Linked DNA regions of Neurospora crassa OR74A. The protein of the gene in region 7 purifies or fractionates together with the protein of the main gene of each other region. This does not show direct contact. Links are inferred from orthologs where the notes say so. Each region holds a gene or a part of one and is shown on either strand. Other genes may lie near its edges.

Evidence for each region.
Region 1: the proteins of NCU01515 (region 7) and NCU04191 purify together in Saccharomyces cerevisiae (affinity purification with mass spectrometry, with the first as the bait; 4 studies listed by BioGRID). This does not show direct contact. The link is inferred for Neurospora crassa OR74A from reciprocal best matches to the Saccharomyces cerevisiae genes RPB3 and RAI1.
Region 2: the proteins of NCU01515 (region 7) and pph-3 purify together in Saccharomyces cerevisiae (affinity purification with mass spectrometry, with the first as the bait; 3 studies listed by BioGRID). This does not show direct contact. The link is inferred for Neurospora crassa OR74A from reciprocal best matches to the Saccharomyces cerevisiae genes RPB3 and GLC7.
Region 3: the proteins of NCU01515 (region 7) and NCU06260 purify together in Saccharomyces cerevisiae (affinity purification with mass spectrometry; 6 studies listed by BioGRID, with this or other methods). This does not show direct contact. The link is inferred for Neurospora crassa OR74A from reciprocal best matches to the Saccharomyces cerevisiae genes RPB3 and CEG1.
Region 4: the proteins of NCU01515 (region 7) and NCU00444 purify together in Saccharomyces cerevisiae (affinity purification with mass spectrometry; 9 studies listed by BioGRID). This does not show direct contact. The link is inferred for Neurospora crassa OR74A from reciprocal best matches to the Saccharomyces cerevisiae genes RPB3 and TAF14.
Region 5: the proteins of NCU01515 (region 7) and ssp-1 purify together in Saccharomyces cerevisiae (affinity purification with mass spectrometry; 4 studies listed by BioGRID). This does not show direct contact. The link is inferred for Neurospora crassa OR74A from reciprocal best matches to the Saccharomyces cerevisiae genes RPB3 and ESS1.
Region 6: the proteins of NCU01515 (region 7) and NCU09300 purify together in Saccharomyces cerevisiae (affinity purification with mass spectrometry; 3 studies listed by BioGRID, with this or other methods). This does not show direct contact. The link is inferred for Neurospora crassa OR74A from reciprocal best matches to the Saccharomyces cerevisiae genes RPB3 and FCP1.

The regions. Positions count from the first base shown.
Region 1 is NC_026505.1:5,153,122-5,156,687, reverse strand, and holds NCU04191 (rai-1), read right to left. Parts: upstream 2,313-3,566; 5' UTR 2,304-2,312; coding exon 2,136-2,303; intron 2,080-2,135; coding exon 1,837-2,079; intron 1,762-1,836; coding exon 1,702-1,761; intron 1,634-1,701; coding exon 1,626-1,633; intron 1,573-1,625; coding exon 1,478-1,572; intron 1,408-1,477; coding exon 1,237-1,407; intron 1,161-1,236; coding exon 861-1,160; intron 776-860; coding exon 582-775; 3' UTR 501-581; downstream 1-500. Other genes in the region: NCU17026 (hypothetical protein), read right to left, coding at 1-179; NCU04190 (exocyst complex component Sec8), read left to right, coding at 2,796-3,566. UniProt on the Saccharomyces cerevisiae protein: Decapping enzyme for NAD-capped RNAs: specifically hydrolyzes the nicotinamide adenine dinucleotide (NAD) cap from a subset of RNAs by removing the entire NAD moiety from the 5'-end of an NAD-capped RNA.
Region 2 is NC_026503.1:2,384,687-2,388,749, forward strand, and holds the start of pph-3 (serine/threonine-protein phosphatase PP1), read right to left. Parts: upstream 2,801-4,063; 5' UTR 1,838-2,800; intron 1,690-1,837; 5' UTR 1,532-1,689; coding exon 1,352-1,531; intron 1,249-1,351; coding exon 847-1,248; intron 767-846; coding exon 467-766; intron 405-466; coding exon 376-404; intron 287-375; coding exon 271-286; 3' UTR 1-270.
Region 3 is NC_026503.1:2,102,469-2,106,150, reverse strand, and holds NCU06260 (mRNA-capping enzyme subunit alpha), read right to left. Parts: upstream 2,536-3,682; 5' UTR 2,079-2,535; coding exon 1,900-2,078; exon of another isoform or gene 1,890-1,899; intron 1,837-1,889; coding exon 807-1,836; 3' UTR 501-806; downstream 1-500. Other genes in the region: NCU06261 (uracil phosphoribosyltransferase), read left to right, coding at 1-96. UniProt on the Saccharomyces cerevisiae protein: Second step of mRNA capping. Transfer of the GMP moiety of GTP to the 5'-diphosphate terminus of RNA via a covalent enzyme-GMP reaction intermediate.
Region 4 is NC_026503.1:3,880,445-3,884,389, reverse strand, and holds the start of NCU00444 (transcription initiation factor TFIID subunit 14), read right to left. Parts: upstream 2,801-3,945; 5' UTR 1,970-2,800; coding exon 1,958-1,969; intron 1,776-1,957; coding exon 1,592-1,775; intron 1,501-1,591; coding exon 1,108-1,500; intron 1,036-1,107; coding exon 968-1,035; intron 895-967; coding exon 871-894; 3' UTR 1-870. Other genes in the region: NCU00443 (ran-specific GTPase-activating protein 1), read right to left, coding at 3,827-3,945. UniProt on the Saccharomyces cerevisiae protein: Functions as a component of the DNA-binding general transcription factor complex TFIID, the RNA polymerase II associated general transcription factor complex TFIIF, and the chromatin-remodeling complex SWI/SNF.
Region 5 is NC_026503.1:4,945,918-4,949,674, forward strand, and holds ssp-1 (peptidyl-prolyl cis-trans isomerase ssp-1), read right to left. Parts: upstream 2,311-3,757; 5' UTR 2,175-2,310; intron 2,018-2,174; 5' UTR 1,968-2,017; coding exon 1,959-1,967; intron 1,891-1,958; coding exon 1,618-1,890; intron 1,455-1,617; coding exon 1,198-1,454; intron 982-1,197; coding exon 972-981; 3' UTR 501-971; downstream 1-500. UniProt on the Saccharomyces cerevisiae protein: Essential PPIase specific for phosphoserine and phosphothreonine N-terminal to the proline residue.
Region 6 is NC_026507.1:20,301-24,290, reverse strand, and holds the start of NCU09300 (RNA Polymerase II CTD phosphatase Fcp1), read right to left. Parts: upstream 2,801-3,990; 5' UTR 2,656-2,800; intron 2,568-2,655; 5' UTR 2,121-2,567; intron 2,020-2,120; 5' UTR 1,955-2,019; coding exon 1-1,954. UniProt on the Saccharomyces cerevisiae protein: Processively dephosphorylates 'Ser-2' and 'Ser-5' of the heptad repeats YSPTSPS in the C-terminal domain of the largest RNA polymerase II subunit (RPB1). This promotes the activity of RNA polymerase II.
Region 7 is NC_026502.1:3,218,390-3,222,440, reverse strand, and holds NCU01515 (DNA-directed RNA polymerase II polypeptide), read right to left. Parts: upstream 2,630-4,051; 5' UTR 2,390-2,629; coding exon 2,324-2,389; intron 2,251-2,323; coding exon 1,685-2,250; intron 1,605-1,684; coding exon 1,223-1,604; 3' UTR 501-1,222; downstream 1-500. Other genes in the region: NCU01514 (mitochondrial dicarboxylate carrier), read left to right, coding at 1-66; NCU01516 (mitochondrial co-chaperone GrpE), read left to right, coding at 3,196-3,468, 3,548-3,991. UniProt on the Saccharomyces cerevisiae protein: DNA-dependent RNA polymerase catalyzes the transcription of DNA into RNA using the four ribonucleoside triphosphates as substrates. Component of RNA polymerase II which synthesizes mRNA precursors and many functional non-coding RNAs.

The DNA.
Region 1 (3,566 bases), on a different chromosome or scaffold from region 7:
GAGGTAACATTCGGATCTCCCCAGACGTATGATAAGGCCGTATACTCCGTTTCCATTGACAGTTGAGTTATGTACAGTCTGCATTGGATGGGGTCTTGAAGACTGTTGGCCGGGAGAAGCTCGAGCAAGCGGATGTCTTTTTGAGAAGTGTCGAGACGCGTGGCGTGGATTGGGGTCATAATGATTTTAAAGGACCGCGAGTTATGACGGACGATTGCTGGACAGAGTCAAGCGATCTATAACCCAGAGAGTGAATGGTGGAAATGAATTCGTGGGTGAATGGAAGCATGGAGATTTTGATGGTTTGGGTTGTTGACAGGGAGGTGAACATTTGTTCAGTTGACAGCGGGGAGCTTCGCGTCTTTAGTGGGTTGAGATTAGATGGAAAGCTGCCTCGCGGCGTGCCTTATCACACGGAAGGTGCAGACAGGTAGGGTTGGATGATGGAAGACGTCGGAACTGGCAGGCAAGAACGAGGGGGGTGGCTGAGAAGCTACCGTGGGTTGCCCAACGCCAATGTACTTCTTTCTATTGGACACTGATGCACATAAGAAGACGTGTACTGCTTCGTCCAATTCAGCTTACTCTTCGGTCTCATTGTCTTCAGTAGGCGGCTGTGCCTGACGAAGCTCGAGCTTGATCCGCCAGTTCATGAACTCATCTGTGATGATGTCTCCGTGGCCCACCTCCTCGACTTTGAACACTTCGATTTCTGCCGACCGAGGCCTTCTCTTGATCCTCCACACGCCCTCGTCGGTGATGGTATGGCGAAGCCCTGAAAAGAGACTGTTAGTCATAGATTCCAAAGCATAAGACGCTTTGCTGGACTTCAAGAAGACAAAGGAAATGACAAGACTCACACTCGAGGAAGCCGTTAGCAAAGTTGACGCACGTATCCCCATCCCATTTTGGCCGCCCATTCTTCTTCACCATGAGCGGTATCTCCATCGTGCGGAACTCTTTGGTCTCAACCAGCAGCCCATCCTGCGTCCGGAATCCGACAATGATCTTGGGGACGCCTAGGAGAAAGGACTGGATCCAAAACTTCATGAGCTTACGCTCAAAGTTATTGGCCTGGCGCTCATTTTGGATTACTGCCGACGTCTTGAGCTCCACCCAGTTGATTGGATCGCCTTGAGTCCTTGGTTTGTCGTCCCATACTAAGTAAGAAAAGACGAGTTATTAGTTGGGGTTGACGAGAGGCGTTAGTATAGGTAGGGAGACAAGAGCACTAACTAGCATCAACCTCACCACCGATACAGAGAATGGTCTTGCCAATGCCTGTACGGACTACTGAGCAGTATTGCTCCTTGTTGTTCACGACATGATCGGGACGGCTTTCAATGAAATCGCGAGAGGTCTGGCCCCATGGTTTCGGAAGTGTGCTCAGAGTCTCAAACTTGTAGCCTTGGAAGCCAGGAGACGTCAGCTTACCAATTCAGCAGATATGAAAGACGTGGACAGTGAGTTAGCTTACCCCAGTACTGCATCACTTCTTGCGGGATTGGCCCGTTCCATGGCCGCTCGTTTGCTCTCGATGCTTGTTTGTATGCATGGTTCTCTTCGATAAATCTTGTCGCCGTCAGTCAAAATAGCATGGGGGCGGAAACCATGTGGTCGCTTACATGCAACCCTTTTACAGCCATGTTAGTATGACAAGGCTTCCCAAGTTAGATGGCCAAGCGGCAGGTGTGGACGAACTCTGTAAAGGGTAGCATTCATCTCAAACCCGTCGTCATCATCAAAGGGGGCTGCCATGATCTATCACGGTGTATATGATGTTAGTGTCCGATATACGAACGACATCATGAAACAGCTAGTCTAAGGGAGACTCGCCTTTGTCATCATGCCTCTCCAAGTTACGATGTGAGCATCGATCGGTTTCGACGTCTTTTGCTCATAGTCGGCTATGGTGGTGAGTAGGCTGTCCAGATGTTCGTCTACACTATCGTCATGTTTGATGAAGCTCTCGAAGCCCTTGGACAGGTCGACGTTGAGGTCTGGTGTGTAATACCACTTCAATGACTGAGCTCCAAGTAAGAACTTGTGATCGGCATCGTATGAGAAGCATGCAAATTCCTGGTCAGACAGTTAGCCTCTCTGGTCTTTGGATGTCTCTAGTAGGTTGTTTCTACCTTTGGCCGTTTGACCAGCTCACTCTTGCCCGCAAACCGTGCTACAGGCTGGATTGGGAAAGCGGCGGTCATGGTAGAAAAGAGCGGTTGTCCGGCGCTGTGTATGTGGATGAAGGCTCTAAATCTGGAATTCCAATGCCCAAGTATAAGGACTTGACGAGTTATCATTAATACTTGAAAGGAGGATAGATGTAGAGAAGAGCCAGGATACCTTTATTGAGGTGGAAGCATCTCGAGCTTGTAATTCATGTCTCGTGGAGGCCGCTGCCCCTGCAGTGATCCGTCGTGCGTGAGGCCCTGTCAGTGGGGTTACGTACCTATGTAGCAACGGCGGGACCCTCTGTAACAACAAACAAGCACTGTACATCCGTTTTAGGGGATCATGAACGTGGAGAGAGGAGGACTTCTTGAGCAACACCAACTAAAGCACCATCATTGACCAACCTAACCTTGACACCCGACGACTCAAGTCCTGGGTGACGACGACTCAACGTCCACTCAGTAACACCTACAATTCATACCAACTGTAGACGGGCCCGGCACACCAAGCAGTAGTTCCATACTGTATACCTTAGGCATGCCGATAATGAAGTACCGCGCAACACGATAGCTCTCCCTCCTCGCGACACCCGGACGCCGAGTCAAACACACACCACCATCATGGCCGACCGATACGGCCAGCAGCCGCAATCCTATCGGGGCAACAGCGGTTTCGGCAACCTTGGCCGGCGTAACGACGACTACGATCCCTACGGTGACGGATATCCCAGCGACCGCTATGGCACCAGCACTAACCCGGCTTCAAGACCATCGACGGCCTCCCGAAATGCGCCCCCGCCCCGGTCTGCCCAGCGTGGCCGCACGGGTGCCGGCGATATGCAGATCCAGTCCAATGCCGAGCGCCAGATTGGAAACGTGCTGGATCTGATCAAGAGAGAATGGCCCGCCATGGTCGAGACAGACTGCATCCCCGTCCAGCTGGCTCTACAGCTTCTCGACACCAGCTCCGTCGGCCGCGCCCACGAATACCGCAACTTCCAGCAGACACACCAGTTCCTCCAAGAGTCCCTCAAGAACATTGTCCACGACCACCACCAAGGCTTCAACAGTTCCATTGGTACATTCCACAAGATCCAAGGGAGCATACAGTCCTCCCAGAAGAAGGTGCGCGCCCTCAAGGAGTCGCTGGCAGCCTCCAAGACGGCACTCTGCACCACCAATCCCGAACTCAAACAGCTACATGCCACGTCACGCATGTACGATGGCGTCCTACAAACACTGAACGAGCTCGATGACTTGCGCACCGTTCCAGACCAGTTGGAGGCCAGGATATCCGAGAAGCGTTTTCTGACCGCCGTCGAGGTCCTGCAGAATGCGCTACGGAAGCTGAGGAAGCCCGAGCTGGATAACATTGGTGCCCTGAGCGACCTG
Region 2 (4,063 bases), on a different chromosome or scaffold from region 7:
TCATCCCCCGAGATATAAAAAGATTCCCTTTCCTTCCTACCCTCTCGAGTTGTGTGGAGACCGGACGGATGGAGAGACAGGACGGGCAGACGTGGCTTTCGTTTCGTTGGCACGGCAGGAGGGGCGAGGACCTCCCCAAAAGAAGTGGTCGGAACAGACGGCAGACGGGATGATGGCTGGGAGCCCTGGCGATCAGGAAACATGGCGGCGGTAGACAAGCTGACGGTAAGATACTCATGTTCGTTGCGGGCGGGCGAAAGTATCAGACGTTTATCGGCGGCCGAACCTAAAGGAAAACGGGTGTGTTCGTAAGAAAATTCTTTACTTGTGCTTCTTGGGGGTCTTGAATTGCTTCATCTGAGACTGGGAACGTACTTCTGTTTCTTCTCTGCGGGCTTGAGAATCTGCAAAGGGGGTTAGCAAGAGTGCAAGGGTCTCGGAGCTTGCCAAAGTCAGAAAAACATACCTGGAAAGAGCAGAGCAAACTTTCGTCGACGCTCATCATAGCACCAGCGTTGTCGAACTCGCCGCAGTAGTTGGGGGCACTAAACAAAGTAACGAGCTGGCGCTTCGAGAAGAACTCATATCCGTCCTCAACAACCTGGTGAGCACGGCAGATCAAATCCATGTCGTGTTTTTGGAGGAAGCGAGAAACGACATCCGGGCCGAATGTGAAGGAAACACCACGATCGTTTTCGCTCCAACCAGTAATGTCCTTATCGGGATCCGACCACAGGAGATCGCAAAGAAGACCGCAGTCAGGAATCTGGCGCTATTGTTAGTGTCTCATGTTACGGCAACTAGCCTGAGCAAACGGAAAGCCCGGGCATGAATGGTGTAACGTACGTCAGTTGGTCGCATGACTCGGCGGATCTGCTCCATTGAGTTCAGATCCGGGCTCAAACCACCGTGCATAGTGAAAATCTTCTCGTCGATAATGGCAGCGATCGGTAGGCAGTTGAAGCAGTCGGTGAAGGTCTTCCAAAGCTTGATGTTGTACCTCCGCTTGCACTCGTCGTAGAAACCATAGATACGGTTGATGGACGCGCACTCGTGGTTGCCACGAAGGATGAAGAAGTTCTCGGGGTACTTGATCTTGTAGGCGAGGAGCAGGCAGATGGTCTCCAGGGACTGCTTGCCACGATCGACGTAGTCACCTAGGAAGAGGTAGTTGGCCTCAGGAGGGAAGCCACCGTACTCGAAGAGGCGGAGGAGATCATAGTATTGACCGTGGATATCGCCGCAAATCTAGGGAGGTGGGGCACGACGTCAGCTATGAACACTGCCGAAGGGGCAGTATGGCGCATGCCGAGGCTATGTAAAGGGATAATAGAAAGAACACAATGCTTACCTTGATAGGAGCCTCGAGCTCAAGCAGGATGGGCTGGGAAATGAAGATTTCACGGGCCTTGGTGCAGAGATAGCGAATCTCGGCTTCCAGCAGCTGCACCTGCTTACCAGGCCGGCTGCCCCGCACCTCCAAGAGGCGGTCGATTATAGAGTCGAGGTCGACTTCGGTATGGTCCGCCATTGCAAAATCCTCACCAACCGGAGAGATACCGCGCACAGGTTTTCGAAGTCACGGTAACGACCGACAAACCCCAGCTAGTCGGATGGGACGGGTCTAAAAGAGCGGCACGCGTAAGGAGTAGGAAACTGGGGTAGATGCACTTCTGCAAAGCTAAACGACTAATTCAAGACGTTAGACATTGCCAATGACGACGCAGATTCTGATTGGGGTTTGCCGCACGCGATCGCGATGGCGGGAAAATGAAGGAGGAGCGACGGCTGGGCAGAGACTGGGAAGCCGCAATGTAACGGCAGTTGATCAACTTACGCTCAGAAGCGATCCCAGCAAGAAGCGATTGTTGGGGGTTTTTTTTTTTTTGGAGAGGCGAACGCGTTCTCCTTGGGAATACAGCAAGCGGTGATTTTTTTGGTGTTTTTTTTTTCTGGAAATAGGTATTCTTTCGGATACCGAATGTTGTGCTTTGGTTTTAGTAAATCGTCACTGGGTTTGGCGGAGGTGCGAACGGTCTAGAGCAAGCGCAAGCAAATCTCGTCGGAATTGCGAAGAAATCGGTCCGGTAGTACGCGGCGACAAGAGGGTTAGCAATGATGGAAAAAGGAGACGGCTCCAGAAGTCTCTGATCGTCCTTTGTGAGGTAACGTGTTTTTTTTTTTTTGTCGCGCGGACGGGGCTGGGGCAAAACGCCGTGTCGTCGTCGAAAATCTGGGTTCGAAAAGGTCGGGTGTAGAAGGGGAGTTCAAGTAGTCCTGAGACTGCGGGAGAGGCTGTCACTGCCACTGCCAAAACCACGGTCGGGAAAAACTGGTCGATGGACTGCCCGGGAGAGTGCAAAGTGCTGCAGCGAGGTGCAGTACAGAGCGCTGGGCCGGTCGGAGGGTCGCTGGAAAAAGCTGCGTCTAATTGAGCGACGGAGGCCAGAAGACGAGATACCGCGAGATGATGCCTATGATAATAGGACTTCTATCGCCAGGGTGGGGTTGAAAATGCGCGTTCTTTGTGGTTAAAGACGTCGCCCTGTTTTGGTTGGGATAGAAAGCGTCGGGAGAAAAAAATCAACGTCGGTGGTGGTTGCTTAGAGACTTTTGGGAGGAGACGGACAAGCGCAGACGCTTCCACTTGGGCTGCCCGCTGCTGGGGGGGGGGGGTCCGGCCGGGCGATGGGCTAGGTAGAGGTAGGTAGGTAGAGAAGACTGGCGACTGGACTGGACGGGGACGCAGAGAAGGGATTGGGCTACTGGGCCGATGGAGCAGCAAGATTTACACGCACGCAACGCAGCTAATGAAACGCACAGGGCTTCCAGACTACCTACTAGCAGTGGAGAGCAGTAGGTAGAGGTAGGCAGGCAGGTCCAGGTCCAGGTCCGCGTTCTTTCAAGCCCAGGTCAGGTCACCTCGGTGCCTGCCAGTCAGGTTATCGTTACAACAACCACAACAGGCGTCCGGTCGGGTCGGGTTTCGGTGCAGTTGTGATCTTTTCCGCCGACTGGGCTCTCATCCACATCGATGGAATGAACAGGACAGCACTCAGTGACATGGAACGAAAAAAACTCGAAACATCCGACGCGATGGCAGGCCAGAACAACCCTCAACTTAAACTCAAACATACCTACCTACGGCTGAAATAACCCAAACAAGGACAGGCTCAGATTGGGTGAGCTAGGTTAGGTAGTTGGTACCTAGGTTGCCAGCCAGGTAGGTAGGTACCTACCTAGGTTTCGCGCCCGCTCTGAATCTCCGTCAGATCCTGGCCGAGCCCTTGTGCCCTTTCCAGTTGCAGTGAAGCGGCCCTTCCAACTTGGCTCGAGAAAAATTGCATGCACTCGCCTCTGGGGAAGCAGGTATGATGATAGGTCGGTCCATGTTGCTCACTAACGCGACTGGGTAGGAGCTGCGCTGCCTTCCCCCGCAACTGCGAGCACTTCTGTTAGCAAGAGTCCCGAACACCGGACCCTCCTTGGCAGGTCTAGGCCTGGGATTGGCTCGCCTAAAAGCCGCTTGCGATCCCGTTGGTGGGTGTCGCCTGGAACTTCCATCTCTCCCAACCCTCCAACTTCCCCCTCCCTGTGTAGAGATAGTGGACTGTGAGTGTGACACCTTACCTGGTATGTACACGGCAATAGCAAAGACGGGAATGCCTTCTTGGTCGCCTTGTTGTTACTTTGCATTGGTATTCCGGCTTTGTCCTCTTTGCTCGTTTCCCCCCACCATCAGCATCAGGTTCCGCAAACGCAATGATAGGCAGGGCAGCCTGGCTACATGGCCTACACCTAGATCAGGCACAAGCACCCGGTATGCATGATTACAACAGCTCGAAGCGAAGGAGTATAAAGACAGGTCGACAGGCAACGGATATCCAGTCAACAACGAGCAAAATATTCGAGCGACTCAGCCGCCGACGTGTATCCGCAAGATCAGTGAGACTGGGAGCTCGACAGCAAATGCGCAAAGCCTCAGTCAGGCTGTCGAGAATCTTGGGCATCTTGGAGATCCAGGTAGTCCTCTGCGGTCATAGGTGATGCTTAGCTGCATATC
Region 3 (3,682 bases), on a different chromosome or scaffold from region 7:
CTGGCCGGTGTGGACCAGGAACTTACAAAGGGGGGTATGTTGAAGCCGGGATTGGGAGATGTGGGGGATCGCTTGTTTTTGACAATTGGCAAGTAAATGATGAGGGGAGGGGAGAGGAAATGGGAGTTAGATTTATTTAGTATTTGGATATACAATTGAACACCGTTATATGCATGTGCTGGTGTGTCGTTATGTCCTGTTGCTTACACAGTTTACAATTCTCTTTGAGTTACTTTCATTCGCACTTGATTGAGGAAGTGATTTGGTCTTTGTAAGATGAACTCGATGTAAAGGACATGTCATTCGATGGCACAATGACCGATAGGTTCTCCCAGCGTCTTTCACCTAGTTAAAAGCAACAAGGTAGTTCAATATTGTTCTGTTGGATGGTTTTGGGTAGTCATCAGGGCAACTCGAAACAAACTTACCCATAGCCAAGACAAAATAAATGATACACATCACTTGAATCGACAAGTCTCACTCGCAATTCTGCACAGAGAGAGAGAACTCTGCGGGGTCCCAGCACGGGTAATACTAATCACCCTCTATGCCATTTCACAACTGGAAAGGGCAAAAAAAAGATATGCATTAAGAGCTACCGCCCAAAACAAAAGCCCACCATTCCCCAAACGCCCAGGTATAGTCGGTGCAGATATCAGCACCTGTTTCCAAGTCAGACCACTAAACACCGATGAAATAGAACAAGGAAACAAGAAGGGAAGAGGAAAGTCACCGGCCCTCCAAATAGCCCCTAAAGAACACCGCTCAAACCTCACGGGCCTGCTCCGCCAGCGCTGGGCACACAATCAGTGCTTCGGCTGCTGCTGCTGCTGCTGCTCCTTCCTCTTCTGCGCGCGTATCTTCCAGCTCTCCTTTATCGCCGTCGCCGCGCTCAGAAGTTCCTGATCCGACACGCCATCCCTTATACTCGCCATGACGCTGGAGACGGTACTCGTATGGTTCGCCTCATTCTTATCGTCACGAAACCTGAACAGCCGCCACCGGTTTTCGGCATCCAGACAGCACTCCACCACGCGATCCTGCAACGGGTCGCCCAGCGCCTTGAGCGTCTCCCACTCGTCCTCCGCGATATAAAGTGGGTCCGGAAAGAGTTCGTATTTGCTTCCGCCCGGTCCGTCGTTGCCGCAGAAAACGTACAGTTCCGCTTGTGGGACCGAGTCGTAATCTGTAAATTGTTCGGGAAACCCTTCGTCAAGTTCGGCCTCGGTGGCTTGTACAAGGGGGAAATTGAGGCGCATGCGGAAATCCAACGTGTTCTCGTGCGGCGCTTTCCACTTGAGAATGTGCGGGTCGGTGCCGAAGTGGTAAGGGGTGGTGCGGCACGTAAAGATGAGACCGTCGCTGTCGTGTTTCAAGGCAGGTATTACTTCGCGGAACATGGTCTCGATGCCGTACGACAGCTCCATGCGCTTCATCTCCACCTTGAAGGCCATGAAGGGAATTTCCTGTGGGAACTGTTGAAGCAGCTTTTTGTAGGGTTCGTATATGTAGGCGCTGAAGTAGCCGAGGCGCTTGTCGAGAGGTTTGTTCAAAAGTTCGGCTTTGTCGTCGAGCGCGAGTAGGTCGAAGACGAGGAAGCGCGGTTCTTTTCGACCGTTTGTGCCGGGCACTGTGTCCATCACCAGCTCGCCGTCGATGATGGTGCCGCGATGAAAGGCTTGAATGTCGTTTGGCATGGGGAAGTGCATGCTGTTGCGAGGGAGGAACCAGTAGTCGTTTTTGCGGTCGATCAGGTATTGGACTTCCTGCCCTTCTTCGTCGACGGTCAGGTAGAGGAGGTAGCGAATGCCGTCGGATTTTTCGCAGACATAGTAGCTTTACGGATGGTTAGCCAGAAGTCATGACATGCGCAACCGTAACAGACGAGCCTTGGCTTACTCCTCTCTTCGTAGTTCCTCCAGGTGCTTGCGAGCAAAGCTGACGGGTTGTGCTCCGGGAAAGCCAATGGAACTCCTCCCTAGAATCCGAGCAACTTCTTCTCGCAGCGAAATGGCCAAATCGCGGGGCGCTTTGATGCCAGGCTTGGCAATGTCGGTAATGGGCCCTGGTTGTTCCATTGTGAGGGCGGCAAGCGAGAGCGGATCGTGGACGAGCGACGGGACACGACGTAGACGGTGGTGGTGATTTGCGACAGCTGTCTGGAGTAGAGCTGGCTAGATCCAATAGCTGTGATATGTCGTAGGTTCGATTCAATACTGGTTCTTTCAGGCTGTGCCGCGAGAAGAGGAATCGAAAAAAATGCTGGGTGGTGAACAATGGACTGTAAAAAGTTGTTGAGGTCAAAGTTGGTGTTGGAGGCCACGAATTGCTAAGTCTCGTCGACAAGAACGGGTCGTCATGAACTCTTGGGCGTGACGCTTATCTTATCGCATCCCCTGGACCGTCTGGACGACACGCTATAAGTGCCATGCCAACAGGGTGTAGCCCGTTTTCTGGATGCCACTCGAGGTTCGTGGGTGTACCCGTACTACTGTATAAATAACGGTTCTAAAAAGTGATGATTTCTCATTGGTCAAAAGTAGGCTGAAGAGTAGAAGAGAAGAGGGATCTGGAGAGACAAGCTAGCTTAAATAGGCTAAGAGTAGCCAATGCACGTGACACAAACAAGTGGGTCTCAGTTCCATTCTCACCGGGACTGTACCTACAGGTAGGTACTTACTGATTAAATACTGCGAAGCAAGGCCTACCATCCATATGCGCTACATGCCCTCTGGAACGCGACCAAGTGAAGGAGGCGACCTGGATGGAAACCACCTCCGTCATTCACATGGTACGTCTACTGTATCGCCCCAACCTCGGGGTATCTGTTTTCAGGTTCTCTAGAAATCAGGCATAATCGGACATGCATATGCCTGATTTGTATATATTATGCCCGCAAAACTAGTATTAAAAATGGAGTTTTGTTGCTACCCCGGAGAACTGTAACCTCAACTCTTCTTATACTCTGCCTTTTTTCATCTATTTTTTGGAAAGGCGCTGGATGGTGGATATTCGAAGTCAACTAACGTCTTGCATACAATTTCTGGCGGCCATGGATGTTGCAGTACAGTATGCTCACAGATCATGCCTGATTTCCACGGAACTTGAAAACGGATGCCCCGAGTCTACACGGTATTATCAGATTCCAAGTCTCCCATGTCTTTACACTCACCTTTGAGGTCCACCGTATGCAGTTGTAGTGGACAAAGGCTCAGGGGCAGCAACCACCAGTCCAATGCCGATCATGCTTTTGTCCAAAAAGTGAACTATCTGGCCTATGCAAGGTACGTTCCACCACACTACACCTCCAGATCTCCCCCGAGATTCCTTGAAAGAAGTGTGGAACCTGCCCATTCAAGGTTCGTTGTTGCATGTTACGTAGTTGCCTGCTGTCTGGCCCATTGCAACCCGTCCAACCTCTCGTCCAACATGCCCGCCTGGGTTGCACAAAATGAAGGGACAAATATCAGAAAATAGGTAGTCCTGCTCCATCAGTCGTAATGCATGGACTCTCATTATGTTTTATTCTCGTCTAAATTGATATTCGTCATCAAGACAAAAAACAACCCTTTTGACATCTCCTCAACGCCCGGAAAGTTGTTGGTACACTCTCCACATGATAAATCATCCCTCATGACGTTTGATATGAACCAACCCACTCGGAGAACGGACCACTCTGTTC
Region 4 (3,945 bases), on a different chromosome or scaffold from region 7:
CTATCTGGCAGGGTGCTGGCAGATCTATAGCGCTCTAGTCCAGGCACAGGAGACACGGAGACTAAGGCGAACGGACAGTTACTGCTGCTCCATACCCTGAACTGTGTAAACTAAACCATACAGCATGTTCTCTGCTTCTAATACCGCCATACGACGAGCAACGTAGAGAGACCGTGATCGAGAACTAGGTACCGCCTACAACATAACCGCTTCTCTTTCCCTTCCGAATTCCATGGGCGTGGGATCTATTACATACCTCCTTTCTACCTCTTACCCATCCTTTCCCGAACCTTTCTTTCCAATAAACAGTCTCAAATTTCCCTATGACGATCCTACCTAGAGGGGCAAACCTTGCACATGATAAGGTTCAAGGTCCGCCCAAAGCACAAACTGATTAGCGATGCCACTCCCTTCCAGTGAAGAGCAGTCCTCACGAGCAGACACCACCAATCAAGGCAACGATCCCACCGGCAGAAAGGAAACGGTTCAACGGAACACACCCTAGACCATCGAATATCACGCAAAGAAAGAAATCTGGAAGATCAAATCAAGCACAAATTTTGTCAAGAGAAGCTCTTGAATCTTTCTCAATTTTTGCTTTTTGCGTATCCCACCATAACTCCATAAACGCCACGGTAATGCAGGAGCCGAAGAAGCCTAAGGCTACAATGGCATGATGGTGAAGGTGGTTGATGTTGATGTGGATGGAAGTGTCAAGGGATCAATAATAGTGAATAAAGAGGGTGGTGGTGTACTGGGTATGGTATGGTGCGCACTGCGATCTAGTAAGGAAGAATGTTCCCGTCCCTGATGACTTCGTAAATCGATGGCCATCGACTACTGTAGGTTACTTGGACCAAGGAAGTCGTACTATGAGACTACGTTGGCTTTGACCTGTGGTAATATTAGCGATTTAGCTACAGAAGGATCCGATTGAGGGGGCAAAAGAATGGGAAGAACAACTTACCAAGAACTCCCAGAGCATCTTCATGAGGTTGTCAGGAAGAGTGTAGAGATCCACCGAGAACTCGCCCGCTATAGACATGTCCAGTCAGCCATCAGCTCGTGTTGCCTCCAGGGGCCACACTCCCTAGCGGGCAAACTTACCATCGAGGTTGTTCTGGATGTACGTATTGTCATCCTTGTGATCGTGGATCATCTGAATGACCTGCAGGAGGTCATCCTCGCCCAGCTTCGTCAAGCCATCCGCCATACGCTCGATGTCGTAGGGCCGCTTCTTCTTGGAACCGCCGTCCACCGCCTTCTTCTGCTTGCGCTCCTCGTCCGAGGGCAAGGGACCCGTCTCTCTCAGGAGCTGCTGGAGCGCCTGAGATGGGTTACGGAAGGTGACGGTATGGATGTTTTCGTACTCTGATTGCTGGAAGTTCAGGTCGTGCGCGATCGAGATCTTGCCGCCTTTCTCGGTGGTGTACATATCGATGATCATCTCAAATTCACCCCAGCCCTCGTTGGTGCATTTGAAGGGAGGATCGTTGAAAGCTGAATTTGCGACGCGTTAGCCAACCTCTGGCTCTCGAGACACAACAGAGATGGGGAGAGGTGACCGGCGGCCGCTCCGGTGTCTACTTACTCTGGATAGGGTTCGCGAACGAAGGGTGAAGGTTGTAGGTCACCTTCGTGAAGCACCTGGCGGGCCTCTCCTTGCCATCTTGGTCGAGAATATAGAGCTCGACCGTCCACTCCTTCATGGGGTAGCCCTCCTGTGCCGCCGGCTTGTTGATATTGTGTTGTTCTGTGACAACCTTGATCTTGCGCTGTAGACAAATAAACCCACGTTAGCCGTCGAATCCATTTCCCGAACAACAGCTATCCCGGAACGTTCTCCTCCTAGGGCCTTTCCTTTCCCTGCCTCTGCACCTGTTCTGTATGCCGCTACAGTGGTCACCCTGTTTGCGCAAGCTACCAACCACACTGGACTGGGAATCCGGAAACTAACCTCGACGATCATCTTGTTTGCGCCTGGAACCCGCTTCGGATTCCTTCTAGTAGCTTTGGTTCGAGTATTCTTACTAGCACTACTGGGAACGTCCGACCGATCCTCAAGGCCCTCTGCTTCCCAGAAATTGGATGGATTCCCGCGGTTAGCTTTGTGTACTTCTCTTCACTTGCTCGTGTCCTAGTACTCGAACAGCACTCTTTTGACAATCGGCGTTCGGTCGGTGTCTCGAGTACAGGACAGTAGTAAGACAGTGGCGTTCGGGCTCTTGAGGAAGAGCAAGGATTCGAGGATGTACGACGTTGTTGTATCCGTTGGGCTGTCTGGCAATGGGCTCTATAGTGTTTGGTGTGTTGTATGTGTTGGTGTGTCGCAGATTCCGTCGCGCTGCTAGAGTTGGGCTTTGTAGCGGTAGAGAATAAGGTCGTCCGTTACGGAGGGGTAAAGGTACCGCGGCGGGCCGTGGCGTGCGGTTGGGAACCAGGGATAATGATGGGGATAACGTAGCTCTAAGGTGTATAGCGTACAAATTGGGATAGGCAAAAGTTGGATGGGAACGCGATCGTGATCGTGAAGAGGGGCTAAGGTTAAGAGCGTGTCTCCTCTCTGATGGCCTTGGGTTGAAAAATGCTCAAGGGAGTGTTCAAGCAAGGCAATGTGGGAAGGTTTTTACTGAGTTATGGTGCTGATGCGACTTGGATGGTTGGGAATTTGGGTCACTGTGCAATATATGTACACTCCGATGAAGTTGGTTCAAGCGGGACATACCTTCGTCATTCGCGAACGGAGGCGTCGCGGCGCCGCCATAGTCAAAACCGTAACCATGGCTGAAGTCGACCATTGTCCCGTCGCTAGCACTCAGTGAGGTACCGCTGTGCGTGCTGTGGCTGGTGCGCTGTGATGCAGTGAGCGTCAGCTCGCTTTGCCGGCATTCCTCTACCCCTCACCGTGGATGTAAGCAAGGTGAGCTCACCTAGGTGAACGAAGATATCACCACTCTAATCGAAATATCGCGATGATCGAGAAAGCAGAAGTCTTGGAAAGAAGTTGTCAAAGACGACGGTGATGCTGAAGTAGACCCTGAAATCTTGAAGTAAATTGCTCCAAGATGTGATTTTGCGTCGTCGGGAGAAGAGTAGTGAGAGACCGCTGGCGAAGAAGAGGATCGTCGTCAGCTCGCCGTAAGGTAGTCAAGAAGAGAAGAAACCTCCAAAACCGCAAAACAACCAGATTTTTTATACGGTCGTCGCCAGACCGCGTCACGGACGACTTGGCAAACGGAATTCAGTATTTGTGTTTCTTTCAAGACAGGCTCAGGTTTCCGTCAGCTAGCCAGTCCATCAGATTCGTCTCATGTTTTGGTGGACCATCGTGCTAAGCCGTCAGCCAGGTATGACGAGGCGAGGTTGTGTGTACAAGAACTTGATCAAAAACCCCCAAAGGCAATGCATCGGTGTGAAGGGTAGTGAGTTGTTCTATCTAAAACTGTTGGTTAAGCTAAAGGTTATTTAGATCCCTTAAGAGTAATCCCCATCCTCATCCTCCTTGCCAGCCATAGTTGCAAAAGGGCCGTCGCAGTATGTTACCAGTATATTGAAATCTCGTCAAACGCACACCTGAATAGTGCTTTCATGTCGGATACTTCAACCTTTTGTTCTCGCACACGCTGCCCATGTACCAGCTCTCTAGCCTAGGAATCATCATCGTCATAACTTCTGTAGCGGTCCTTTCATTCATTCCATCGCCCAGCCCATGGAGGTAGTAATGTCATCGTCCCCTCTAACACCTAGCAAAACGGAAAATAGAACGGGGTGGTTGAAAAACTTTCCCTAAAGCAACTTCAAATTCATGCAAAACTAGACCACACATCTACTCGGCCTTCTCGTCCTCGGAATCCTCCTCAGCCTCCTTCTTCTCGGCGGCCTCCTCGGCAGCCTTGAAGAGAGCCTCGTTGTCCTTCTGGGCCTTGATAAAGGCATCCTTGAAAG
Region 5 (3,757 bases), on a different chromosome or scaffold from region 7:
AGAATGTTAACACTCGGCTACTTACTTACCTCTAGGTAGCTAATGAAAAGCCCTAATGTTATCATATGTAGGAGGACTTGGTAGTCAACAAGGGCATAATGTAGGTACCTACCTAGGTAGGGACCTTAGGTAGGTAGGGTAGGGACCTTAGGTACCTAAGTAGGTAGAGAGAGGTACGGATCACGCACACGCATACATGGATGATGCACGCAGCTTGCTCAGGTAGACTAGACTAGACTAGTAAGTACGTAGTTAGTTAGTTGCTCATTGATTGATACGTATTCTCCCTTTAACTTTAACGCTGTTTCTTCTACCTTACCTTAGTTAATAATAGTGTAAAATAGCTCCAGACATGTCGATTCTGTCTTTCCATCTTCCTAGGTCTCGAACCCCAGCCAGCCACATAGAGAGGGGATCGGAGGTAATCTAAGTAAATAGCTAGTACTCAAGCTAGGAATCACTTGGGGTGCTTGCCTGGCCGTCGCTTAGTTACTTGGGGCATTGGACCATGTTAGGTCCCCGTTGTGTATTGTGTGTGTGTCTCGAAATGTGAAATGTTTTATTTTGTCTGCTTTTTATTTTTTATTCTTTTTGTTCCTATCCGGCTGTTTTCCTTTGGGTTTCCCCCCTATCCGCACTTGAGCCAGGAGAACCCAGATATTTCTACCTAGCCTTTTGTTGCCTTTTTCGTACTACGTACAGTAATCCGACAATATCAAAGTTCCAGTGACCGCATAATGGCGTAATGCGTCATCGCGGCCATCATCTTTTGGGTTTCCGATATAAAGAGTTGTGTTCCCGGTCTCATCCCTCGAATTCCTCCTCTCCTTCGTACCATCGCAAAGCGCCGCGCTCGAAGCAAAATCCCTAATTCGTCTTCCCTATACTATCATGCACGCTCTCAGCGCCCTTTGATGTTCCTCTTTATCAGAGGCAGTGGTCATTATTGATCGTCGTGGCGTATCGGGATCCTACTCGAGCCTGTACCATTCCCCAATGTCGTCGTCAGCAAACTTTTGTTCGTTCACGAATGATGTCCGTCTTGCCAGCGACTGGTGTCACTCGGTAGTAGCGGCGGCCGTCACCACACACCACCAGATAACCGCAACACACGTCCACCTCCAATATACTCTCCGTACCCTCCTTCTTCTTCTCTTCCTTCTTCTGATTCTTCGAGGAAAAGAAATGTCGACTAACCGTTCAATCAAATGCAACCCACTAGCCGTGTCCACGATGCCGCTGATCTCGCCAGGCTTCAACGCAAAAGCGGCATCCTCAAACTCCTTTTGCATGTCGCCGCGTCCAAAGTAGCCGAGGTCACCCCGCTTCCGAGCAGAGGAGCAGTCGGACTCGGTCAGGGCCAGCTCGCCGAGGGAAATGGAGCCGGACTTGATGCGCTGTTCGAATCCTTGCAGGGTAGTGAGGGCTTCTTGCTTGGTGCGGGTAATCTCGGACTGTCATTGGTGGTTAGCGACGGTCAGAAAGAGAGAAAGAAAAACAAAACGAGCGCAGCGAGCAGCCCTCCGAAGGAGCCTCCCCGGAGGGGCCGCCGGAGGCAACAACAAACACCAGGCACTCCGGACGCAACTTGAAATGGACAACGGGAAGGGGACTCACCTCGCGCCAAGAACTGGGCCTCCTGCTCTGGTTGTGCTTGACCAGCAAATGCGCACACCTGATCTTTCCCTGTGGTTGTTGCTGCTGTTGTTGTTGCTGCTGTTGACTCGTGGGCGAGTGGTACTTGGCCATGTAGATCTTGAGCTTGTCGACGTCGGTGCCCGAGGGTGGCTCCCAGCGAGAGGTCTTGGTGGCGCTGTTGAAGTAGTAGGGCAGGTTCTTGGATTGCGAGTGGCGGACTTCCCAGTCTTCGGGGAGACCGGTCTCGATGGTCTGGGAAGGGGGGAAGGGGGGGGGTCAGCTCTGTTGTTCTGGATGTTGCGAGTGGTGGGTTGACTTGCGTTGGACATTATGACGGTTTTGGTGGTGGTTGTAGTGGTGATTGGTTCGTAGGTCGGTTCTGTGAGAGCACGATGCGGTTCGCGGTCAGTAAGTAGCTTAGTCCTCGAGTACTGTAGGCGGATAGCCTTGTGGCGGTCGCGATGTCAACGGGGAGAAGGAGGTTCAGGCGCAATTGCGACTCGCGTGATCAACCAGCGAGGGGCATGGTGACGTACCTTGAGTTGCGCCGGTAGAGCTTCGACAATGAGAATTAGAAAGCGACTACAAAAAGGAGAGATGGAAAACAGAAGGAGAAATTGACAAAGGGAGAATTGAACTTTTTAGATCACCTGGCAACGGCGGGGGGGGAAGGAGGAACAGGCAGAGAAACATCCAGCACCACTCCGGCCAAGACTCTCCCGGTTCTAGGCAATGGAGCTCTCCGTCGTCAGGGACGTCAGCTTGTCGGCGGCTCCACACCTCACAAGGCACAAAAAGCGGGGACTTTCTCTGGGGGAGCGGGGTCGGGCAAGGGGACAGGTACATAGGTACCATAGTACCGCCCGTTGTGTTTTCCGCGATTGGGGATTCGTTCGCGGGGACGGAGCTGTCAGGGGCACCATCTTGTTAGTGGGATGGTGTGGCAAGCCCAGCAGGTTCTTGTCCTTGTCGACATGTCCTCGTGTGGGTGCCACTGCCATCCTCCGAGTTGTTGCTTGGTCAGCTTGAGGCTGCTTGCTTACCTCTAGTATTCTTTATCACCTTGATGGCCTCATTTAGTTCTCTATTTGAGATGAATTAGGTTGAGTTATGGAAGCCACTTGAACTGATACCAGTTGTACTAACAATTCATGCTGGTTTTTTATACTTTGTTTTCATCAAAAAGGTCACACCTCACCAAACATGAAAGACTTGAAGTACCGGCCCGTTGGTTCTCGACAACAGGAACCAAAGCTGCGAACCTGCAGCCCGGTCGTGTGCTGTGTAGCATCGGATGAGCACCATGATCCTCGTCGCCCTCTCATGAGCCATCCACACTTTCTCGATCCGTCGTCAGTTGCTGCTGCATCGGGACACCCCACGCAACAGTTCCTTGGGGCCTCGTGATTCTCCGTGCATAGAGTGGGTGCCACACACGGACTTGCTGTGCCCTTGAATATTGGGGTCACGGGTGGGCGGGAGGAGAGAGAGGATTTGGCACATCGAGATGAATTTTTCAACAAAAGACTATCCATATTACATACGATGATAAATATTTACAAAGGCGTCCATCCCCTCTGAAGCCTCATGACATTTAACAGACAGGTGCTCGTGGTCAACTCCATGACGTCGTTGTGGATTCCAGTAGTGTGTACTCTCTTGTCATTTTGTGTGAGACCTGAAGCCCCTGATGCGCTGTAATGGTGTATCGGTCCCTGTTGACTGCGTCTTGTCCTCGCCCGTTTACTCGAGACAGGACACCAAGAACAAGACACTTTGGGGAGGGAAGCATGCATGGCGCTCCAGTGAATTGAACTTGACAAGTTTGGATCGAGGCGGTTTGATACACTCGGGTCTCCGTCGGCAATAAAAACACAACGAATCATGGCTCATGCGAAACCGGGCATCCAAATCGAGGCTTTGCCAAATAATGGTCTGCAACAAGCAACACTTTTCGGTCTGACTGGCCTGTTACTTGCAGCCTGGAGTCCCGCCTGTCCAGTGTTCTGCCCCTGACCGTGACTTCACCCAAAGCGGCAAGGCGGTGAAGGGGTTTGGCAGTGGCAGCCATCCTTGTCACCCTCCTTGGGCCCCGATTTTCCAAGGTCCCAGGGCTGTT
Region 6 (3,990 bases), on a different chromosome or scaffold from region 7:
CCTCCTCGTCCTCATCCTCGTCCTCGTCGTTCCCAGTGCTAGCGGCGGTGGCGAACCTGACTCTTGGTGGCGACTTTAATCTCAGGATCCTCTTTTTCCCCGGCGGCGCATTTCCGCTGTCTGTATCATCAGCATCGCTCACCGTCTCTGTCGCCTCGGCATCCTGAACCTTTTCGTTCAACTTCTTTTGCGCATCCTCCAGTCCTTCGATGAGATAAGGCCCCTCCTCCACCACCCTCCATTCTGAGAAACACGCTGCTAGCCAATCCTGGTTGACGATCTTGATTTTGGGCAGGTAGCGTATTGCTTGTCTGACCTTCTTCGTCCGTGGCCTCTGGGAGCTGACTACCAAGTGCGTCACGTCTCGCGTCACGGAGCTGCGTAATTCGGCTCCAAAACTGGCAACTTGCAACCCAATCTCGGAGCGGTAGACGTCCATCCCTATGGGAACAATCCCGGAGAGGACGATTTTACATCCGCTGAGCGCTTGAGCTTTAAGCGTGGTGAGGATGGATCCTACGTCCGGGATGGATTGAGTGTCGAGCGAGGATGGGGAGGAGGAGGGTTGGGAAAGGCGGTTCTGCTCGTACGCTTGAAAAAAGGATTTGTGGAGGGCTGTGAGGTGGTTCTCGAGAAAGGCGAGTTCCCGGTCGTCGTCTTGCAGAACCTGGTGCCGGTGATGAGGGGGCGGAGGAGTGGTGGACTCGGTGTTGCCGCTTTCTGGGGTGGCGGATGCCCTCTCGGCTGCTTCATCTTGTTTGTCTTGCTGCTCTTGCAGCGCTTGCAAAGGCCTGTCTTTGATCTGTTTTTCTAGCGTCTTTTCCTGCTCTTCGAGGGCTTTCTCCAGCGGCGGCTCCATCGTGGTGCTGTCCTCCTTGTCGGGAGATGGCGCCGGTGCAATGCGCGCCAAACCACCATTCGTGGTCGCCGCCGCACTCGGAGTAAGCAGACCCTGTTGCTTCGGCAGAAACCCAGAGTTGATATCACCAATTCCTTTGAAGAAGTCATATGGCGAGACCTTGATCAGATTGGGCCTGTTGCGCGGCCACACGTCCGCTCGATCGTCAATGATCACCACCATCTTGGTGCTGACGGGGAACAAGCGCTGTAGGCTTTTGGCGTACATGTTGCCGTTCTCGTCGCGGCTAATCACCCGATTGCCAAACAGCTTCTTGTCGGGATCGACGATGCGCGCCACATTCTGGGCGTAGGCGCGAGTGCCCATGGTGTAGACGTGTAGCTCGTACATGGTTGAGATCTTTTTGAGAAAGTCCTCGAGGCCTGGCCGCATTTTGATGTAGTACCAGCAGTTGTTGGCGACGCCGCGGGGGCCATCGTCCAGCTGGAAGGACTTGACGTTGCGGACGGATGGGTAGTTGGGATTGGACGGGTCCTTCTGCCACTCGCCAACGGTCGGGTCGATGCAAGCGTGGATGATGGTCTGGTCCAGATCGACGACCAAGCTGAGCTTGCGGTGCTGGAGCAGACGGCGCTGGAGGGCGTTCTCGGTCTTTTGGGCCTGCGTCTCACTGACGGTGAGGTGTGTCTGGTCGTGCACCATGTTGATGGGGGCGCGGTCCATGTCGCGGGACTCGGCGGCCCAGTTGACCTCGGTCATGTCCTTGCCACAGATGGCGCAGAGGCCGCCAAACTGGACATCATGGGAGCACGACTCCTTGACGACCATACAGTCTTGATCTCTGGAGATTTCTTGGCCGACGCGGATCTTCCATGACTTGAGCTCGCCGTCTGAGGGCGAACTCCAGTCGGCGTAGGTGGTTTCTTCGGCTTCCCATGTCTCTCCGCGGATGTTGTCGCCGACGGTGCGCTTCCATTTGAACGAGTACTGGAAGAGCGCTTCCTTTTTCTTGATGGGCTGGTTGGGTTCCTTGTAGAGCTTGGTGATGGTGATGGGGTACCGCAGCCGGCTCCCCAGCTGGATTGTTTTGACCATGGTCGCGAATATGGCTTATCGGCCTGTGCGATCGGTCGGACGATTGTGTAAAGGTGGCGACTCAACTAAGAAGAGTGAGTGTTAGCATCGAGAACCATCATCCGGCGCAATCCATGCCCGGCCACGGCGACGCGCCACCGAGGAGGCTCGCTCGCTGTCCACTTACAACGGTGCTCCCTGAGGAGATGAAAGTAGATGATGGGTGTTTGGTAGAATGAGTAAACCCATAGCGCAACAAGCGCGTGCAGTTTTCGGTGTTGGTTGTTGAAGGCTTTGGTGGTGGGTTTGTCGTGTGGCGCCCGTGATCGATGTTTTGTTCTTTTGCTGTGAATCGCGACAATTGAAGATGGAACGTAGAAGTGCGACCACTCACTGCACGATCGACCTGGATCTGGACCTGGACCTCTGAAGCTCTGCAAGATTCAGAGTGGGGAATATGTCCTGATCAGGTCTAGCGCAGGTAGCTTTGCGGCACCACTTATGGGGCGGAACGAAGGGGTGGTCCAAGCTCTCAGCCAAAAGGGTTGTACTGTAGCTGATCTCGATGTACCTGTACAACAACAGCCAAATTGATTTGGATCAATTCAGTTCCTAGGTAGGTACCTAGGCTGCACTTGGATATCAATGTCAACCTGCATCCAATGTACAGTATGGAAGAGATCATCTTCAAGCTGGTATATTATCTAGAAAAAGTGACTGACAAGTGATGTAATGTGCCCGTAACCCGGTGAGGTGCTACGGAGATGTCTTGGTTGAGAGTTCTGTGCGTGTAGTGATATTGCGACAGTCGGGCGAGTTTGACTTCAGTGAAGCAATGAAACTCGAGGCGGCTCATTTGAAGGCGAGACATGGCCTGCAAAGGCCGCCGAGGGGAGATGGGAGCCGCGCCCTTTTGTACCTCCGGAGGCTGATTTTGGGGAACTTCTCCAACTCGCTTTTGTCAATGGGTGAATTCCAGACCAATCATATACTCACCTGTCTGTGGACTCCATGTCACCCTATCAGTGTCGCGGGCTGTAGAGGTACCGATACATAACAAGACATGGCTGCTGTTACCGCGGGCGGCATTGACTGAGCCAGACCGTTTGCGGGGTTGATAGGTACACGGACGTGCTGCATTGATACCTACCATAAGTGTAGTGGCCAGCAGTCCTCATCATAGGTAGAGGTACCCAAGACTTCTCAAATCCAATCCCATACAGGCATCGTTTTGAAGAATCTGACAAGAAGAGCAGTTCAGCATACACCTCAGTTTTCAACCTCGGCCCCGATACTTCATTGAAAAGGTCCCGTGTGACGGTGTGAGTTCGGGAAGGTGGCGTCCCTTCTTTATGTATTAATGTTCTTTATCTAGAACACATTACACACTGCCCTTCAACCGCGACCATCTTTGTGTCCGTTCCCTTGCCTTTGGTGGTCTTGATGCCCGTGGCTTGCTTCCGGAATTGGCAGAGTGTTACGAGTAGGTGAATGGAAGTCACTGATGTTTAGTGTACAGTCCAGTACTGGTTTGTTTGTTAGCTCGAGACCTTGCGTCAACTTGTCTAGACGTTTTCCTTAGCTAGAGGTAACAACGCCATTTCCGATGTTCAATATATTATATCAATTTTTGTTAATGCCTTTGTAATTCGTACTCAGCCATTTTGACTTGTCCTTGTAAGCTTTTGGACTACTCGGGATTGATATCGTCTCGTGGATAGAGTAGGTACCTACAGTACTGTAGAGGTGCCTAGGTACCTAGTGTACTGAGCCAACAAACAAACCAGCATCGGACTGTATAACGTTTTCCGATTAACGAATAGTGTCTATTATTGATATAATGTATTGATATGATAACCAAGTCAACCCCAGCCCTCCTATTGTGTTTTAGGAGTGTAAGTGCCTTGTACCCTTACTCCAGCACGCCAGCCGTGGCACGAGCCAATGCGTCTGTTTGTTAGTCGTCGTTCTCCGAGAAAATGAATAGGAGAAAGAAGAAGGAAAAAAGAGAAAACACCAAAGAGACAAGCCAGCTATGTCCCGTAATCCATAGCAGC
Region 7 (4,051 bases):
TGCACCTTCATCTTCTTGGAGGGCCATCGGAAGATGTACAAGAAGGTCAAGGGCATTGAGGAATGAGTTGTCATTTGCTCCTCTTCCTGGCTACCTACCTTTTCTAATCTCTCTTTCTTTCTTCACCTTTCCTCCCATGTCCAGTCTTGGGAGTCTGCTTCTTAGACGGACTAGCAGCAGCAACAGCGGGTTTTCAAATGCATTTCAATCAAAAAGTTTGTGGGTGGGGACATAATGGCCGGATTTGTATAGAGGAAATCTGCATTTTAGAGGCCGAGTGGTGGTCTTTCTGTCAGGACCTAGATGGCGATACCTCATGTTTTCTTGTTCATAGGTTTCCTTTGTTAGATGTTCCCTCATCCGTCAGGCATTGAAGCGGCGGTAGGGCTGTCATTTCGATGGTGTTTTGGCTTTATGTAGTCTTACCCTGGGAGTTTGGTGTTTCCTGCAGAGTTGTGTAAAGCAAATAGACCAGAGCAGCAAGTGCTTACTAGACTCCAGCAACCGGCGAGAATGGCATCTTGATTTTTTATGAACCTCGCACTTTCGAACCGTTTATGAATGTTTTTTTTGGGTATTTTGGTCCCCTATGTAGTCGCCAGACCATGGTAACTATATTCACCTTTTGTCTATACCTCGCAATTGTGCGATAGATCATTTGCAGGGTGCCAATAACAGAGAGAGCTGTCCTCGTTCCGCTGCCTAGTATATGTGGTGTCTGGACGAGGGACGCTCAAATAAGATATGCTCTGGTTCCTCTCGCCCTGACTTGAATCCCTTCAGAATGCGCCTCTCTCCTCTCCCCTAATGTCAAGATCCAGCTCCCAAAGTTCCTTTTCCCAGTTTCCCCCAAAATTGACCTTGACGTGGCGGCTCGTGCCTAGCGCCAAAAGTCCGATATTTGGCCCTGATCCGTTCCGTGGGCCTCAGCCACAAAGTGTGGTTGAGTTACGGTCCCCGCAGTAAGAGACGGAGGCGCCACGATTACTAAGTAGATGCTGAGCTGGTGGTGATGGCGCGAGTGTGTGTATAGGAATGCGAATCTCAATCTTGTTTGAATGGTAAAAGTGTTGTGTTGTTAATCGAAGTGCGCAGCTCGAACTCGCGCCGCAAAGATACCGCAGATACCCAAAACCTCCCGGAAAAGACAGGCGCAATGACCTCGCAAGCCATCAGGAGGAGTAATTGACGTCGCAAATCGTAAACTGTAAGCATATGATGCTCAAGACCAAGGGTTTTGGCCGCCTCCGTAGGGAGTCGCTCCGTAGGGCGTGGTACCTCCCTGACCTCCCCAAGAGCTCTGGTTTCCTCCGTTTCCATATGGCGTAAACGATCCTTGGTCGTTCCAGTTGTCGCCACCTTCGTTGTAGCCTGGGCTGCGCGGTCCGTTGTATCCGTTCTCACCACCATCGCTTTCGGTAAGTTCGTGGATCAGACCAGCCAACTTCTGCTGGATGACCTTGATGCCTTCAGTGACAATAGCATCAGGGGGAATAGGACCGGCGGTTTCGACGTTGTAGTAGAAGCGTTGTGGTACGGCATCGTAATCGAACGGTTCGCCCTCCTGGGGAGGCTCCTCCCAGTCGGCGTACTCCGAAGGAGGCCTGGAGAGAAAAACAAAATGGTGAGACATCGGTCACATCAAAGGGAATTGGAAAAAGTGAAGATGATGGAATGTACTTACCACTCCTTCTTAGGATCCTGCTCATACCACAAGTCGAGGTGGTGCAGCTTGTTGTGAGGATCGTACTCGAAGCCGATGGCGGCACTTGGGGCCCATTTGGAATGCTCCTTTGCAATACCCTTCTTCGCGATGCATTGGAGCTTGATCTCCTGACCGTGACGAAGCTTGAGGATGAGGGGACCTTGGCCTTCAGGATCATTGATGATAGGCGAGCCGAGAACTTGGTTGACGCGATCGCCGACTGGAACAAGATCGCGGGCACAGACTTGCATGATGTCGTCGCCAGTGCACTTGGCGTGAAGGTTGAGGGTCACACTGCAATGCTCGCAGTATTCGTCGCAGTCGCAGTCCCTAGAATACAGAAGCTGCTCGATACCTTCGGCGTTGAGTGGAATCAGGCCCAGGCGGTGGGCAATGAATTCGTCGGCCAAAACGGAGCTGTTGGCCTCGATCTCGACTAGATCGATGGCAATCGTGGGAATCTCGGCAAGCATGACGCGACGAAGGGAGTTGGCGAAGCTGAGCTCGGTGTTGGAGAGCTCAAACTTGACTCGGGTGTTGTCCGCCTAGAATGATGGTTTAGAACGATGAACGAGCAGCTGAGCGCAATTGCTGTGAGCAAGAGCACACAGAACATACTTGTGAGATCTTGACGACCGGTCCCAGGGACTCGGCGTCGTCCATCACCATCGGATCGTAATCCATCTTTGCGTGTTGACCGGCGGTCGGTCAGTTGTTCTCGCTACAGTCGGCAGTTCTCGATGGTACGTTTTGTGGTGTATGATAAAATTTGGATGCGGGGGGAGAAACGGTTCAGGAAGTTGTGGTTCGAGGCAGGGTGAGTTGCGGTTGAGGTGGCCTTTGTTGAGGGCCGGTTGATGCGAAATGCAAGTTGCGGACTGATTTCGGTTTCCGGCGCGTTGACGGGTCGAGGTTCGGAGGCGCCACCACCTATGGTAGGACTGAGTGCGGCCAGTCGCCAATCTTGCCTCTGGCTGAGGCCGCAGCGGGCAGACAAAGTGACCAGGATTAAGCTGGCCTTATCTTCACATGACCTGGCGTTGGCTAACTCCACGGCGTGTCTTTAACAGAGTAGGTAGGAGCAGCCAGGTCCATCTCGACTCCCCCGCACAAAAGAGCCCCGCCAGGCACACCCGGGGCGCTGAGGTGTCGAAGCTCCAATTGTCGATTTGAGCAAAACTCGATGGTCCGGCAGGCAATTCGTCGATTTTGGGCGGTCCGTTCATGACCCGCTTTTCGGTTCGCTCCCGCCCAGCCGGCCGACAGGATTGATGCAGCAGCAGCACCCACCCTCCCACCATCCCACTGTGGGAGACACTGCGAAGGCCCCTGTTGGCCGCCCAACCCGCCGCCCGTCCATGCCGTCTCCGTCCCGTGCTAGCGCAGCTGTCTCAAAATTTCTGAGAAAGTGCCTCTCTCAACACGCGACGCTTCCCTGTCTCTGACATCGCCACATCTCACCACCCGTCACATCCAGATACCCAGCCAACATGCTACGAACAGCCCTCACCCGCTCTTCCAGAGCCCTCTGCTCCGGCGCCCGCGTTGCCGCCCAGCGCCCTATTGCTTCCCAGATCTTCCAGATGCAAGCTGCCCGGACAGCTGCTCCCCAGCTGCGCTCCGCCGCCCGGTGGTACAGCGCCGAGGCTGAGGGTGAGAAGAAGGCCGACGAGGGCGCCGAGCAGAAGGAGGGTGAGACCGATGAAGTTGCTGCCCTCAAGAAGCAGCTCGAGGCCAAGGACGCCGAGGCCCGCGAGTGGAAGGTTGGTTCTTGAGCTTCAAAGCATATGCACATACAGCCATGATGGACAAGTCACTTACACGGGATGCCCCTCTCTACAGGACAAGTGCCTTCGCACCGTCGCCGACTTCCGCAACCTCCAGGAGCGCACCGCCCGCGACGTCAAGCAGGCCAAGGACTTTGCCATTCAAAAGTTCGCCAAGGACCTCGTTGAAAGCGTCGACAACTTCGAGCGCGCCTTGAGCGTGGTTCCTCAGGACAAGCTCAAGTCGGAGGAGCAGTCTGAGCACCTCAAGGACCTCGTCAACCTCTACGAGGGTCTCAAGATGACCGAGAGCATCCTCCTTTCGACCCTCAAGAAGCACGGTCTTGAGCGCATCGAACCTGAGGGTGAGGTCTTCAACCCCAACGAGCACGAGGCCACCTTCATGGCGCCCATGCCCGACAAGGAGCACAACGTCGTCTTCCACGTCCAGCAGAAGGGCTTCAAGCTCAACGGCCGCGTCCTTCGCCCTGCCCAGGTCGGCGTCGTCAAGAACAAATAAATGTCTCTTTCTGTTTCATCCAACAACCGGAAAAGGGCTACGGAGAGATTCTTGGCATGG